2 linked regions of the Tribolium castaneum genome follow. The protein of the gene in region 1 interacts with the protein of each later gene in a biochemical or structural test. Links are inferred from orthologs where the notes say so. Each region holds a gene or a part of one and is shown on either strand. Other genes may lie near its edges.

What was found. The genes of interacting proteins can lie anywhere in the genome.
Region 2: the proteins of Cdc5 (region 1) and beta-catenin-like protein 1 form a complex in vitro, tested with the Homo sapiens proteins (3 studies listed by BioGRID and IntAct, with this or other methods). The link is inferred for Tribolium castaneum from reciprocal best matches to the Homo sapiens genes CDC5L and CTNNBL1.

Annotation. Positions count from the first base shown.
Region 1 is NC_087400.1:3,567,008-3,571,443, reverse strand, and holds the start of Cdc5 (cell division cycle 5-like protein), read left to right. Parts: upstream 1-1,482; 5' UTR 1,483-1,687; coding exon 1,688-2,129; intron 2,130-2,273; coding exon 2,274-2,960; intron 2,961-3,750; coding exon 3,751-4,436. Other genes in the region: Yod1 (ubiquitin thioesterase Otu1), read right to left, coding at 162-374, 425-1,114.
Region 2 is NC_087398.1:8,515,342-8,519,422, reverse strand, and holds beta-catenin-like protein 1, read left to right. Parts: upstream 1-1,532; 5' UTR 1,533-1,632; coding exon 1,633-1,662; intron 1,663-1,715; coding exon 1,716-1,916; intron 1,917-1,970; coding exon 1,971-2,225; intron 2,226-2,307; coding exon 2,308-3,495; 3' UTR 3,496-3,539; downstream 3,540-4,081. Other genes in the region: Pi4KIIalpha (phosphatidylinositol 4-kinase type 2-alpha), read left to right, coding at 18-149, 199-806, 855-936; uncharacterized protein NdufA3, read right to left, coding at 1,155-1,379. UniProt on the Homo sapiens protein: Component of the PRP19-CDC5L complex that forms an integral part of the spliceosome and is required for activating pre-mRNA splicing.

The DNA of each region.
Region 1 (4,436 bases):
TTTTTGGACCAAAAAAAATTGCTTAGAAAAAAACGTAGTTCGGAGAATAAAAAGGGCACAAATAGAAATAAAACACATTTGTACAAATTATTATTTATTCTTAATAAATTAATCCCCTTGAAAAAATCTAAAACAAGTCTAGAAAATGGTCACTGGCAGTGCTAGACTTCCCCGAAATTCGTATGTCCCGTACTTTGCGCATGCTCCCTTGCCTGCAATTGTCCATTAAGGAAAATATTACAATTCATGCATTTTAGCGTAAATTTGTTAACATCAGTGAATTGTCGACTCGACTTCGCCTCGCGCGCTAATTCCTGCGCCTCTTGTAAAACCTTATCATCATCAGTGGGAAAAATCGTCTGAATACTCGCCCCCTGAAACGAATCAAATAATTTTTTGATAACCCCCTGAGTAAGGAAATTACATCGGACGATTCCAAAAAAAGGGGGTCATAGTGTATACCATCAAACATTAGAAAAATTCGAAGTGTGTAATGCTGGTCTTCCCCGAACCGGTTGATAATAGCGTTGATCGTGTCTACGACGGCAATTTCGAACCCATAGTGATTCGAGAGAATGGCCAACTCGATGGCGCCCCCCCATGACTTGTCGTCCTGGATCCAGGCGCAATACTCACGGTTGGGTTTCCCCAAAATCGCCTCGGAAAACATCTCGGGGTCGCTGGCCACCGTTTCGGCAATCACTTGTCTCATGTAGGGGGCTGCCGTGCCACTCTCGTCCAGTTTCCCGTTCAGGGCGAAGTAAACACTACTGAAAAGACACGAGTTGTCGGCCGGCACCACCTTCTTCATCAGAATCCCCGGACAGTCGACACTTTCACTGATATGGCCCCGCAAGGGGGGCGCAGTCTCCCGGGCCTTCTCCTCCAAAATCAGGGTATCGCCCGACTTGAGACCACTGCGACTCAACTCGAGACCATCGTCCCCCAAGGCGAACGCCTTCGGGGGGAACCCTGACAACACATGGAGCCTGTCCTCGGGGATCTGCGATATGGAGCACAACTGGCGCTTCAAATCTTTGATCGTGTGCTCAGGTGTTAGGTTTTTGATCACTTGTTGCCCCGTTTTGGTTTTGACGCGCAAAGCGAACGACATGGTGCTCTCTGGGGGCTAATAACAATGACAGTTGGGAGTGACAAGTGACAGGAGAAGTGAGGTTAAGGGCGAAATTAAGGGCTTGGGGCCCGAATTTAGACGATTGGGGCGAAAGGGGGCAACACTTGGGCGCTTTATCACCGAGATAACATTTCAAAAGGGTTAAATAAACACAGGGATTTGGGGGGGCTAGGGACTTTCGCCGACTGACGCGAGATACCAACCACACTTTTTTAATTATTTCAAGACAGGAAAAAATTATCACGTTTTAGATCAGTCTCGTGTCACGATTAATACGTTCTAAGTACGGTTCTGATTATTTTTAATCCCCAATTTTTGTTTTTTCTCGACTAACAGTTATGCCAACTCAAGGACGGCCATTTTTATAACCAAAAATCAAGCCGTTTAAAAAGGGCCGTTTTTTGCATTAGTGTCCCAAAATAATTACTTCTTATCTAATTAGTGACTCAATAGTGTTGACCCAAGCATCATTATCGTGCTTTTAGTGGTATTGTTATAAAATTTAAGTTTTTGTCAAAAGTGAGGTTAGGTTTTTAACTAAAGAGTGCAAAAATGCCGCGTATAATGATAAAGGGGGGCGTTTGGCGCAACACCGAGGATGAGATCCTCAAAGCGGCGGTAATGAAATATGGGAAAAACCAGTGGTCTCGAATTGCCTCGCTCCTTCACCGCAAATCGGCCAAACAGTGTAAAGCGCGTTGGTTCGAATGGTTGGACCCCAGTATTAAAAAAACGGAATGGTCGCGGGAAGAGGACGAAAAGTTGCTACATTTGGCCAAGTTAATGCCGACTCAGTGGCGCACGATAGCCCCCATAATCGGGCGAACGGCCGCTCAGTGTTTGGAGCGCTACGAGTACCTCCTGGATCAGGCACAGAAGAAGGAAGAAGGGGAGGATGTCACGGACGACCCCCGGAAGCTCAAACCGGGGGAAATTGACCCCAATCCGGAAACCAAGCCTGCGAGGCCCGACCCCAAAGACATGGACGAGGATGGTAAGAGCTAACAAATGGGGTACATTTTTCTCAGTTTCAAAACACGAATTCAAAAATGCAATAAAAATTTCAAAACCGCAAAAGAATCACCCTGTATAGTATACTATAACGCAAAAAGGTTGGCACGCGTGTTTGTCGTTGCAGAGCTGGAGATGTTGTCCGAGGCGCGCGCCAGGCTTGCCAACACCCAGGGCAAAAAAGCGAAGCGAAAAGCGCGCGAAAAGCAGCTGGAAGAAGCGCGTCGATTGGCAGCACTGCAAAAAAGGCGCGAGCTTCGAGCTGCCGGCATCGAAGTGAATTCGCGTCGTAAGAAAAAACGCGGTGTTGACTACAATGAGGAAATCCCCTTCGAAAAACGTCCAGCGATTGGTTTTTACGACACTTCCACCGAAATTGTTGATCCAATGGCGCCCGATTTTCACAAAATGCGTCAACAACATCTCGACGGTGAACTGCGAAGCGAACAAGAAGAACGCGAACGTCGCAAAGATAAACAAAAATTAAAACAAAGAAAAGAAAATGATATTCCACAAGCGATGCTACAGAATCAAGAACCGGCGAAAAAACGCTCGAAATTGGTACTTCCCGAGCCGCAAATTAGCGATCTGGAGTTGCAACAAGTCGTAAAGTTGGGTAAAGCGAGTGAAGTTGCACGTGAAGTTGCAGCAGAGAGTGGAATCGAGTCGACTGATACGTTGTTCAATGATTATACGGTGGCGGCGCCACAAGCGGCAGCGGTGACTCCCCGAACTCCGGCACCGCAAACTGATCGGATACTTCAAGAAGCGCAAAATGTCATGGCTTTGACGCATGTGGATACCCCACTCAAAGGTAAAAAAAAAATCACAAAAAAATAAATAAATAATGACGTAACTCGAAGAGGAGCGAAAAAATCGAAAAATTTTATTCTTGAAAAAAAATTGCAATTTTGTAGTAGTTTACCGTCCACCAATCTGTTTTTTCAAAAAGTGAATAGTTTCGCCAAAAAATACTAAATTGCAAAGTTTGCCTCACCCGCTATATTGCTCAAAAATATCCCGAAATTAAGAACTTTTGTAAGTTCTTGATTTTTAAAAATGTGCGTAATAATAATTAAGAAAGGTACAAATAAATTAAAAAAAAATTTTTTTTTTCTTATAATACGAGCTAAATATAGAGATACAGTTAAAAGTTTTACTTTGTCACCTACCAATAAAAAAACTATTTAAGTCACAATAACTGAATACCCTGCCAAGAGCATGCCTATGTGACTTAAAATTGTTTGAAGATTCCAAATCTGTCTTTATTGGATGAAATATCAATTTTCTTGTTCATAATATGTAAAAAAAATAAAAAATAAAAAAATGAAATTGACATTAAATGACTTGTAGTTCTTTCTTTTTATTACTTTATTTGTCTCAATAACTTAATAACCAATAAAAAAATTTCTAGGTGGGTTACTACCTAAAAAATACCATAACTTCAAAACGAACGAAAAAATTAAAAAACTTTATACTTTGAAAAAAGTCCCATTTTTATAGTAGTGTACCATCCACTAATAACTTTTCCCAAAAAGTTAATAGTTTAGTCGCAAAACGCCAAACTGCAAACTTTGCCTCACCTTGTATATCTCTTTCAAAAGGGGGCCGAAACACGCCACTTCACAACTCGGATTTTTCGGGCGTTTTACCACAAGCCCTCACCATAGCCACTCCCAATACGGTCCTGGCGACCCCTTTCGGGGCCCAAACCCCCGGTTTCATGACACCGCAGGGCCCCCAAGGCAGTTTTACGCCTTCAGTTCGTGACAAACTCAATATAAATGAGGAAAACACCGAAATGGTGGCACAAACTCCAGCCGAACAGCGTTCGCTCCAAAACAATTTAAAAGAACAACTAAGACTAGGCTTAAGTAGTTTACCGACACCGAAGAACGACTACGAAATCGTCGTTCCCGAACAGGAAGAAGAGGAAAAAGAAGAAGAAAAAACGCCAAATATTGTCGAAGATCAGGCAGATGTTGATGCGCGAGCGCTTGAAGAAGCGAAAATTCGGGCGGCTCAGGAGTTAGCCCTGCGGTCGCAGGTGATTCAAAGGGGGCTGCCGCGCCCCCACGATGTAAATTTGGCCGTTTTGCGGCCGAATCACGAGTCGCATTCGTTGACCGAGCTGCAGAAAGCCGAGGAATTGATCAAGTGTGAGATGGTGACAATGTTGCAATTTGACAATTTGAAAAACCCTAACCAAGTCAAGCGCTCGGCTTTGGCTCAGGCCCAGCAGTTGGCATTCCTGGAACAGCACCCGTATGACGATTTCAAATCGGATGAT
Region 2 (4,081 bases), on another chromosome or scaffold:
ACTCCTTTGTGTCGTAGGTCGTCAAATTAGTGTCAGAAACGTTCAATTATCCTAGAATAGACAGGCAAAAAGCGCGCATGAAGCGAGCAATTATGGAGCAGTTTCCCAACGTCGGTTTAAGGTTTAACAGGATAGGTCTGCCACCAAAGGTTCCTACTTATTTATTTCACGTTTTGGAAATTTAACCCGATTTTTTAGTGTGGTTCATTCCAGTTGTTTGTAGATGGTTACAAGGACGCCGATTATTGGCTGCGGAGGTTCGAGGTGGAGCCTCTACCTCCGCGAATGGCTCAAAAATTTCAACTTCAGTTTGAACGCTTAGTCGTTTTAGATTATATAATACGAAACACGGATCGCGGAAATGATAATTGGCTTATCAAATACGAACATCCTACGATTTCTAACGGAAACGGTCCAGTAGAATTAACCGAAACCACAGAGTGGAATCTAGTTCATTTACCTGAGATAAAGGTCGCGGCGATAGACAATGGGTTGGCGTTTCCTTACAAGCATCCAGACAGCTGGAGGGCCTATCCGTACCACTGGGCATGGTTACCACAGGCTAAAGTTCCCTTCAGTAAAGAAACGAAGGATCTTGTTCTACCGTTGCTAGCCGATATGAATTTTGTGCAGGATTTATGTGATGATTTATATTTACTATTTAAGCAAGATAAGGGCTTTGACAGGAGTCTGTATGAAAGGCAAATGTCAGTGATGAGGGGCCAAATTCTTAACCTAACGCAAGCTCTGAAGGATGGGAAGTCCCCGGTGCAGCTAGTCCAAATGCCGGCTGTTGTCGTGGAAAGGTATTATTTGTTCAGTCAGTAATAATAACGCATTATTCGGTCTTTTAGGTCACAAAGCCAACAAACGTCTCGATTTTTCAACTTTACACAACGCTTCCAGGACAAGAGCCCCTTCTTCTCATGGTGTTAACAGATTTCTTTTTATATATGTATATTACGAATAGGCCAGATTTTTAATACACTATCATGTAAATACAGTACTATTTGCTGTTATTTTAACTAGGAAATTTTTTAATCAGATTATTGTTATTTTCCTTATTGGTACGGTTAAAAAAACTGATGAAATTATAATTTATTAAACAAAACAAATGGTACTACAATAAAACGTATATTGATTATCTAGTGTCTTTAATCCTTCCTAACTTTTTCTGCGCGGGGATCATCATGACGAATCACTGTGTATTCGATTTTGTACCGTCTGTTGTCCCCGTCTTTAACATTGTAGTATAAATGAAAAGAGATAGCCCCCAGCCCAAGTCCAATGAGAGCCATTACACCACTGCCCATCACATCAGGAATCTCATGCCAACCACGTTTTAGTAAACCAATGGAAGCTCGACCTGACGCCGACATTGTGCTACAAAAACTTATAAATTCCCGAATTTAATTAATTTGGACCTTGTGTACCTGTTATATAATTTTTATTATTTGTTACAATTGGAAATAACCTTACAATCCCCTGACAAGTTTTTGACAGTTAAAATGTCAAATTTCTAGTGACTTAATTTTTTATTCTCTAGCAATTTTAAAAATTTATAGGTTAAATTCACAGAAATTTGACATAAACAAAGAGGTTAGTTATTAAGTTTCCCAAAAAACCTTAAAAATGGATATTGGTGAATTACTGGACTACAAAGTAAGTCAACACATTTGACGAAATTCATTTCTAATACAAAATTCCGACTGTAGCCCCCTCAAGGCGTAAAACGCCCAGTCGAGAATGAAAACGATGAAATCGAAAAACAGAGAAAAATGCGGCGAATTGCACGGGATAAAGCCAATAGAATGTCCCGTGCCGCATCCCCAACCCCGTCAATACAAACTTTGGACCAGATATCCGAAGAAGAAAGACAAGAAATATTAAAATTTGTGGAAACTGAACAAACAGAAGTATCTCCTCAGTCAGTTCCAAGCCCATTCGTTTACAACTAGACTGTGTTTCAGGGCGAAGTCATTGACGAAGCGGCAATCAAGCGAATTGTTCTAAATTTCGAAAAACGGAGTCTCAAAAACAGAGAAATGAGGATCAAGTTTCCAGACTCGCCTGAAAAGTTTATGGAGAGCGAGCTCGAACTACATGAAATTTTACAAGAAATGAGGGTGTTATCGACCGCACCTGACTATTACCCCCTTCTTGTGAAGCTGCAAGTCATACCCAGCTTGCTGGAACTGTTGGCACATGATAACACTGATGTGGCAGTAAGTAAAAATAATAAACGTTATTGTAAATATCAAGAACAGTTAGCAGCTGTTATCTTTATTGCATTAAAAAATGTGTCAGGTGGCGACCGTGGAGCTGTTGCAAGAACTGACCGATGTGGACATCCTCCACGAGTCTGAAGAAGGTGCCGAAGCCCTAATTGACGCCTTGCTCGACCACCAAGTGATAGCCCTCCTCGTCCAAAACCTGGACCGTTTGGACGAAAAAGTGAAGGAGGAAGCAGACGGTGTCCACAACTCCCTATCAATAATAGAAAACTTGACCGAACTCCGCAATGACATTTGCAACGAGGCCACCAAACAGGGCTTGCTCCAGTGGCTCTTGAAACGGTTGAAAGTCAAAGCCCCTTTCGACGCCAACAAACTCTACGCCAGCGAACTCCTCTCAATCCTGCTCCAAGACAACGAAAAAAACCGAACTGCTTTGGGCGAAATGGACGGAATCGACACTTTGTTGCAACAGTTGGCCTTCTACAAGCGCCACGACCCCTCCAGTGCCGAAGAACACGAGCTAATGGAGAACCTGTTCAACTGTTTGTGCAGCGCACTGATGATCGTCTCAAACCGAGACCGGTTTCTCAAAGGCGAGGGCTTGCAACTGATGAATTTGATGCTCAGAGAGAAGAAAACCTCGCGGAACGGCTCACTTAAAGTGCTGGATTACGCAATGTCGGGCCCCCATGGCAAAGACAATTGCAACAAGTTCGTGGATATTTTAGGCCTGCGGACCATTTTCCCCCTATTTATGAAAACGCCGAAGAAGAACAGGAAGAAAGTCTTGTCGACGGAAGAGCACGAAGAGCACGTCACTTCGATTATCGCGTCCATGCTGCGGAATTGTCGCGGGTCGCAGAGACAAAGGCTCATTAGTAAATTTACGGAAAATGATCACGAGAAAGTCGACAGGTTGCTTGAGCTACACTTCAAATATTTGGAGAAGGTTGAAGCCATTGATGAGGCCATTGAGGAGGAAAATGGAGTTGAGGATGATGATGCGAGTTATATGAAGCGGCTGGAAGGAGGATTGTTCACGTTGCAGTTGGTGGATTATATTATTGTGGAAGTTTGTGCTGCGGGACCCGCCAGTATTAAGCAGCGAGTTATGCAAATCCTCAATCTTAGGGGGGCTTCGTTGAAGACGATAAGGCACATTATGCGGGAATATGCCGGGAATTTGGGGGACGAAGGGGATAAGGAGTGGAGGGATCAGGAGCAGCAACACATTTTGCACTTAGTTGATAAGTTTTGATATGTTATTGCCATTACTTCGAATAAAAATTATTTCATTTGGTATTTTCCTAATTTCTCGTCACAAGGGATTTTGCAGTGTTCAAAAATTATAATCACTTTATTAACAGCCAACGGATCTTTTAAAAACAAAGACACTACACTTGACTCAAGTACAAACACTAAAACACTTCTTTCTAAGACTAAAAATAAGTAATAAACGTAACAAAATAAGCATAATGTAGGTTGTACAATTTAATTCTTTTATCTGTTTTTGGCCATCAATATAATACCTGGAAAGGTCAATACTGTATTTATGTTCAGTGAAGTGTTGATTATTGTATCACTGTTTTTTTTTATATTCATTAAAAGTATTGCTCTAGCATTTGTTTATGTTACCTTATAACAACGAGTTTTAAATTAACATTATTACGTTACTCCTGTTGGAGCCAAAAATTACACAAAAATAGACTTTAATACTTTCTTATCCTACAAATATAGTGCCATCAAAAATTTCAAATTATGTGCGTTGAACAGTAGTAATTACTTGGCATGCCTCCGATGTTGGCAAAACTGAAAATCGGTGAAAACTTGTCGTTTTTGCACCT